2 linked regions of the Cricetulus griseus genome follow. The protein of the gene in region 1 purifies or fractionates together with the protein of each later gene. This does not show direct contact. Links are inferred from orthologs where the notes say so. Each region holds a gene or a part of one and is shown in the gene's direction. Other genes may lie near its edges. The genes, in order: Pstpip1 and Was.

What was found.
Region 2: the proteins of Pstpip1 (region 1) and Was purify together in Homo sapiens (affinity purification with western blotting; 3 studies listed by BioGRID and IntAct, with this or other methods). This does not show direct contact. The link is inferred for Cricetulus griseus from reciprocal best matches to the Homo sapiens genes PSTPIP1 and WAS.

Annotation. Positions count from the first base shown.
Region 1 is NC_048597.1:167,628,318-167,632,127, forward strand, and holds part of Pstpip1 (proline-serine-threonine phosphatase-interacting protein 1), read left to right. Parts: intron 1-1,957; coding exon 1,958-1,992; intron 1,993-2,164; coding exon 2,165-2,271; intron 2,272-3,810. UniProt on the Homo sapiens protein: Involved in regulation of the actin cytoskeleton. May regulate WAS actin-bundling activity. Bridges the interaction between ABL1 and PTPN18 leading to ABL1 dephosphorylation.
Region 2 is NC_048604.1:114,563,893-114,567,802, reverse strand, and holds the start of Was (wiskott-Aldrich syndrome protein), read left to right. Parts: upstream 1-1,250; 5' UTR 1,251-1,299; coding exon 1,300-1,431; intron 1,432-1,751; coding exon 1,752-1,892; intron 1,893-2,636; coding exon 2,637-2,723; intron 2,724-2,830; coding exon 2,831-2,933; intron 2,934-3,042; coding exon 3,043-3,084; intron 3,085-3,175; coding exon 3,176-3,229; intron 3,230-3,910. UniProt on the Homo sapiens protein: Effector protein for Rho-type GTPases that regulates actin filament reorganization via its interaction with the Arp2/3 complex. Important for efficient actin polymerization. Possible regulator of lymphocyte and platelet function.

The DNA of each region.
Region 1 (3,810 bases):
GTTTCCTCAACTGTCCAAGAAGAGGAAGCATCTGAGGAACATTATTTGTTCTACCCCAAAGCACAGGCAGGTGGGGCTCTATGAAAGGACACCAGGAGAATTGGTTATGAGATGGGTGTCATATGACAACTGTACCACCAGAGGGCGGGAGAGCACTCTGCAGAGAGGCAGTGAAAGACCGTAACAAAGGGCTAATAGGCTGCTGACTGGGATATTTAGTGACCTTGCCATACTCTAGCCTCAGTTTCCACAGCAGCCCGACTGATTGGTTCCTCAGGCATCCTGGTGATAAGGAAGCCATGGCATTTTTATTTTCCTTAGCTAGGGGCTACAGATGGTGTCTAAATACCTTGGGGCAAGCTGTGCCACCATGCATTTTTTTGTGTCCTTAAGAGATTCAGTACACTAAACCCAAGCTGGGAGCACAGACGTGCAGACCTCCCTCACCATCCACAGCCTGATGTGAATCTGCTCCCATGCCACTCACCTGGGGAAGGGCTCTGGGAAAGGACTCAAGCTGGGGTAGCCAGGCAGACTCCTACCTGAGGTCAAGGCAGCAACTTCTGGGAAGGGGGGCACTGGAAAACTCTTAGAAGGGGCAGTATGGGGTTGGGAGCAGGCCAGGTGGGCTGCTGGTGCCTGGAGGATGTCCCCAGGACTGGCAGAGTTTGCATATGTGTGAGTGTGACAGGCAGAGCTCCTACCTTGTACCAAGCCTCCATGGTACCTTTCGCTGGACTCACATTCTCACTACCACTTTGTGTTTCCCTAGAGAAGGGAAGTGAAGATGCAGGGCCAGGCGGCTCGCCTAGGGTCACACAGTGGATAAGTGGAAGAGCCTGGTCATCTGGCTCCAGGGTCTACAGCTGTTGTGTATGGAAACCCACAGTAGGAGACGCCCTGATCTCCACACCATCATCTGAACACAGCTCATGCCCTTCAAAGACCCTGCTCCGTGGGTCTCTCTCTCTTGTAGTTCCTGTATCTGCCCCAGGACTCCTATACCCACCCATAAACAGCAGTGTGTCTGGGGTGGGAGTGCTGGAGCCTCAGCTCAACCCTCAGTGTCACCATGCTCTGGGGCAAACAAGGCTGCCAGACAGAATACAGGGCATTTGATTCTGCCCCTCCCAGTACACAGTGACAGCTCTTTACTCCAGTGTTCATCATTTGTTATTCGGGGCATTCAGGAAGCCATCTGAAAATAAAGTTCAAGTAAACTGAGCCCTGTGGAGATGTCTGAGAAAGGGAGTGGGGTGTTTGAGACAGAGGCTTATTGTGAAGTTCAGGATGGCCTTGAACTTGTGGCCTTCTCCCTCTGCTGTCTGAGTGCTGGGACTCCAGGTGGTGCACTGCCCCCCCCCCACTCCCAAGGTGCTTGCAGTTCCTCCACATAGCACCCCCTCCCGTTTGAGCACTGTCTGGGCTCCTGTGCCCTGTGGAGCCTCTTCCTTTCCTTCCCTCCCTGGAACAGTCCAAATAGCTCTCCCTGTTGTGACCCTTTCTATTCGCCTTCCAGGCCACCTGCTGGAAGGAGCTGTCAAAGGTCATTCCCCTGCTTCAGACTCTTGCTATCAGCATTGGATTACAGAAGCACTAGGCTAGGTGCCTGCCCTGGTGGGGAGGTCTCAGAGAGGGCAGGGAGCTTCCCGGGACCCACCTCTCTTCTCTAAGTGTGCAAACAGAAGCAGGGAGTGAGGGAATGGAGGGTGGATGACTTCCTTTCCTGCCATAGCAAGGTCTGATTGCTTTGTAATTTACAAAGGAAACTTGGTTTACTAGAATGCCAGTTTGGGGATCACATTAACGATGAACATAGCCAAAGGGTCCCTTGCATCCAGAGGTAGTGTATATATGGCTTAGGACCCTCCCTCCAAAATAAAAGTGCCATGGGCCAGGCAGGACATCAGGTTTTTTGCAGCATGCCTGCCTGCAGACCTGCATTTCTGTTTTGCAGTTCCCTGAGGACCTCCTTTGACTCCCTGAAGCAGCGTAAGTTCCAACCATCCCCTATAGCAGCAGGGCTATAGGGCACAGCTCTCACAGGGGTGACTGGGGTGTGTGCTTCGGCTGTGGTCCAGATTTAGATGGAAGATGTGAGGGCTGGGAGGTGAAGTGTGAGGGTGCCGGACTGATCCAGGCAGAGGCCACGCTGTCACCCTAGAGACAGAGAACGTGGGCAGCGCACACATCCAGCTGGCCCTGGCCCTCCGTGAGGAGCTGCGGAGCCTGGAGGAGTTCCGTGAGAGGCAGAAAGAGCAGCGGAAGAAGGTAAGAAGGGATGGGAGGCCAGAGGAGGAAGATTGCGGGACCAAGGAGGGGATGGTGGCTAAGGTCACTCCCGTTCTGGGGGCCAGTTGGGAAGTATGGCTTGATGACAGGGAGAAGGTGAGTGCTCCAGTTTGCTAGCCTGTGCTGTGATAAAACACTGACTTGGGAAGAAAGGTTTATTTGGCTTACACTTCCCATGTCACAATCTGTCACTGAGGGCAACTAGGGTGGGGACTGAAGCAGGGATTACAAGAAATGCTCACTGGTTTTGCTTCCAGGCTCATGTTCAGATACATTTTTTATATAACCCAGGGCCACCTGCCTAGGGATAGTACTGCCCACAGTGGGCTGGCCCTCCTATTAACAGTCAAGAAAATGGTCTACAGACACACTCATGCGTCAATCCAATGGAATCGATTCCTCAGCTGAGGGTCTCTGTCTTCCTAGGGATATAAAGTTGACAATGGAAACCAACCATGACAATGAGGTTTCCATAAAGGGTTAGCTCTGGGACAGAATGCCCCATGGAGGCTGCCATGCCAGGAGGAAGAAAAGATGTAGGGCTTGACTATCCTACTTCCTAGACTGCGGAGGGTCAGCAACAGTGCCAGCTGTCCACAGGCGCCAACTCGTGTTGAGTGGCCCCTGGAAGCTGGTCCTGAACATGAGGATTACTGCTGTTGGTTCTGAAGACAGGTGGACTTGGGGCCAGTACTCTACAGGGTGGCTCAGCAGGGAGGGGAAAGACACTGTTTAGGGGTGCAGCACAGGCTTCAGGCTCAGCTAAGCATTTGAAGGCACTTGTGCCCACAAGGAGTGGCTACACTGGAAGGAAGTGAGTGCCTCATCGCGGGCAGTGTGTGAGTTCAGGCTTTGTTGCAGGCAGGCAGTAAGAGCAGACAGGCTTGGGGTTGCTTTGCAGGGAGGCTTCAAGGCTGGGGTAGGGAACAACTCTCCAAAGTCTGTTGCTCTGATTGGCTGAGCACCTGGCCCACCTGGAGGGTAAGTGGCTAAATCTCAGAGCTGGGGCCAAGCAGCGTCTGGAGATCCAGGAAAGGTCCTTCCCCTTCCTGTGCCTCAGTTTCTCTCTTGTATGAGATACTCTTACTGACATCCCTTGCCTTGGGAACTTTACTCTTACTGGCATCCCTTGCCTTGGGAACTTGACCCTTCACAAACAGGGCTCTAAGGCAGAAACTTAGTTCATTGTAAACCCTGTGTCTTAGGGTTTCTATTGCTGTGGAGACACACCATGACCACAGCAACTCATATAAAGGAAACATTTAATTGGGGTGACTCACTTAGTTTCAGATGTTCCGTCCATCATCATGGTGGGAAGCAAGTCGGCACTCAGATGTGGTACTGGCTAGATCTTGATAGGCAGACCACAGGGAGTTGACTGAGCCACTGGGCAGTACCCTGAACATAGGGAACTTCAAAGCCCACCCCACAGTGGCACACTACCTCCAACAAGCCCATACCTACTCCAACAAAGCCACACCTCCCAATAGTGTCACTCCCTATGAGATATCATAGGGA
Region 2 (3,910 bases), on another chromosome or scaffold:
CTTCCTTCCTTCCTTCCTTCCTTCCTTCCTTCCTTTCTTTCTTTTTCGAGACAGGGTTTCTCTGTGTAACAGCCCTAGATGTCCTAGAACTCAGTCTGTAGACCAGGGTGGCCTGGAACTCGGAGATCCTATTCCTCTGCCTGCAGACTGCTGGGATTAAAGCGAGTACCACCACTGCTCAGCAAGATCCTGTATCCAATTCTCATCACCAAAAGTGGCGAAAATCAAACCTTCAAAGGTTACATACTTTTGAAAAGTCCCAACATAATTTAAAAATATCAATCAAGGGCTGGAGAGATGGCTCAGCAGTTAAGACCACTGTCTGCTCTTCCAGAGGACCCAGGTTCAATTCCCAGCATCCACATGGCAACTGGAAACTATCAAGTTCCAGGGGATCTGACACCTTCACAGCAATGCACATTAAAATAAAGTTAAATACATTATAAAAATAAAACAAATATTAAAAAAGCAATCAAGATGTTGTTTTAGAATTTATTTATACTGTGAAGTCCTTCCTTCCAGAATGAAGTTGGCTGGGCATTGGTGGCACACGCCTTTAGTCCCAGCACTTGGGAGGCAAAGGCAGGTAGATCTCAGTGAGTTCGAGGCCAGCCTGGTCTCCAGAGCAAGTGCCAGGATAGGCTCCAAAGCTACACAGAGAAACCCTGTCTCGAAAAACAAAACAAAAAACAAAACAAAACAGAATGAGGTTGATCAGAAGAAAGTAAAGAGGGAGCTACAGGAGGCAAGGGTAAATGATGAGGAAGTAAGCCATGGGCTTATATGTTGTTGGCGATGTTCAAGGCTGGAGATGGGGTCACTGCGCCATTGCAAGGAAAAGCTGTAATGCAATGACCCTTCAGCACCTGGAGCCTTGGACTCAACCCCAGGCCAGACTGGTGCTTTAGGGAAGAAGGAGATGACACAGCCTTGTGACTACTCTGAGCAGCGAACCCTGTAGAAGTGCTGCAGATGGCTTAGCTCTCAGCACCAACTAGAGCGAGATCTGAGCTTGTCAGAAGGAAATGGCAAGAGAGAGACAGAGAGAGGGACAGAGAGGGGGGAAGAGAAAGAAAAGGAAGAAAGGATCCCTGAGCTCATTACAAACATGGTTCTAGCTAGGCAAATGGAGGATGGCCCCAGTCAGTTCTACCGAGGAGGACAGGCCCTCTGGGGGCCCCTGGAGGACTTGTTTCCCTTGTGGTTTATTGCACTTCCTGTTCCCTTGCTCACTGCGGAAGTTCCTCTTCTTACCCTGCACCCAGAGCTTAGCCGAAGAGGACTAGGGCAGAAGGCACCATGAGTGGTGGCCCTGTAGGAGGCAGGCCTGGGGGTCGAGGGGGACCAGCAGTTCAGCAGAACATTCCTTCCAACCTCCTCCAGGACCATGAGAACCAGCGACTCTTTGAGCTGCTTGGCCGAAAATGCTGGGTGAGTTGGGGATCTCCTGGTCCTCCCAGTCTCCCTCCCTTTCCTCGTCTTCCTCTCTACCTCTTCTTCCCCCTTTTGCCTTCTCCTCTTACCCATACATCCCTGCTCCTTCTTCTTCCCATCATCCCTCTTTTCCCTTTCCCCCATCTCCTCTCCCAGCATCCACTTACCACAGTTTGTGGATCCCAGGACTATCTTGATATCTACCTTCCTCCTGGCTATAGCTCTTTCCCCCAAGCTCATGACAGCCTCAAGCAGGCAGGGGCCAGGCCTGGTTACCCGTGCACAGACTCCAGTGACCCCCTGCTGTCCCATCCTAGACACTGGCCACTGCAGTTGTTCAGCTGTACCTGGCACTGCCCCCTGGAGCTGAGCACTGGACCATGGAACACTGCGGGGCTGTGTGCTTCGTGAAGGATAACCCTCAGAAGTCCTACTTCATTCGCCTCTATGGCCTTCAGGTGACCCAATGCCCCACTGGACAGAAAAGCTAGTCTCCAACCTGCAAAACCAGTTTTTGTCCGTAGCCTCAAGCCCTTTTTCCCATCAGAACTCCAGAGCCAAAGACCAATACAAATCCCAAATTGTGTTTTCTCATTGGAGTCCTAGATGACTGAATTCAGAAGGCCCATGCCAGGGTCCTGATCAGCTCCACAAACTCCCCTGAAACACCACATTTCTACCTGAGCCGAAGCCTCAAATCTGTTCTGAATCCAACATGGTGAATATTTGTAGGCCTAGAATCTTTTTTTGTTTGTTTGTTTTGTTTTTTGTTTGTTTTTCGAGACAGGGTTTCTCTGTGTAGCTTTGGAGCCTATCCTGGCACTTGCTCTGGAGACCAGGCTGGCTTAGAACTCACAGAGATCCGCCTGCCTCTGCCTCTCGAGTGCTGGGATTAAAGGCATGAGCCACCAACGCCCGGCCTGTAGGCCTAGAATCTTAAATTCACGGCGTTGAGCCCTCAACTCCTACAAATGGTCCTCAAATCCCAGACCTAGATCTCTCACATCAGTGTCAGCTTCTAAGACTCTCTCCCAATCCCCCATACCAGACACCTAGACCCCAAATTCTGCTATTGAGCTGACGATCTCTAAATAAGACTCTAGGACACCAAATCTGGACACCACACTCCCTGATCAGAAAACAAAAGTCTGCCACCCACAGTGCCTGCATGCCAGCATGTCCCCCACCCTGCCCCTCTCCAGGCTGGTCGGCTACTCTGGGAACAGGAGCTGTACTCACAGCTGGTCTACTTCACTCCCACTCCCTTCTTCCACACCTTTGCTGGAGATGTAAGTGAGCAGCCTAGCCTTGGGCTGCAGTTGGGGTGTGGGGAGGCCAGGAGAAAGCCTGGGGGGTAGGGAGTGCTAGAAGTTTGCTGACCCCAAGGCATATATAGGACTGCCAAGTAGGACTGAACTTTTCGGACGAGAGTGAAGCCCAGGCCTTCAGGGCTTTGGTGCAGGAGAAGATACAAAAAAGGAATCAGAGGCAAAGTGGAGGTAAGGAGAAGCCCTTGGTGGGGGTTGGGGAGATAAGTTAGACATGTGAGGTGAGGCTGGAAGAGCCCCTCTTGTGGTTCTGACTCTCAGTCTACCTATTCAACCACAGAAAGACGCCAGCTACCACCGCCACCAGCACCAACCAATGAAGGTGAGTCCTCCAGTTCATGTAGCTGTTATAAGGAACTAAGCCAGAAACCTGTGGCAACAATGTAACATCTTAACTTCTTCCATTTTCCCAGAGAGAAGAGGAGGCCTCCCACCTCTGCCCCCACATCCAGGCGGAGACCAGGGTGGTGAGTGGTGGTTTTCTTTCTTTTTTTTCTAGACAGGGTTTCTCTGTGTAGCTTTGGAGTCTATCCTGGTACTCCCTCTGGAGACCAGGCTGGCCTCCAACGAGTGGTGCTTTTCATGTCCCTGGAGAGACGGTGAGGAGTTAGATGAATGAATAGTTGCATGAATGCCTAAATTTGTAAAGAGGTGGATGGCTGGCTAGGTGGATGGGTGGATGAGTGGATAGCCGAGCATGTTGATGGATTGGCAGCAGATAGAGGAGTAAATTGGAAGATGAACTGATGATAGATTATAGATAAATAAGTGAGTGGGTATTTGGGTAAATGGGTGAATACTTACTTGTATTCAAGTAATGAATGGATGGTCCAGTGAATTAATGAATGGGTATGTAAATGGATAGTGAAAAAAAGAAATGAGAGGTAGTGAGCTGGCTCAGCACTTGTCACTGAACCTGGAGACCTGAGTCCTATCCCCAGAATCCACACAAAGATAGAAGAGAACCTACTCTTTAAAATTGTCTTCTAGGCTGGGCGTTGGTGGCGCACGCCCTTAACCCCAGCACTTGAGAGGCAGAGGCAGGCGGATCTCTGTGAGTTCGAGGCCAGCCTGGTCTCCAGAGCGAGTGCCAGGATAGGCTCCAAAGCTACACAGAGAAACCCTGTCTCGAAAAGCCAAAAAAAATA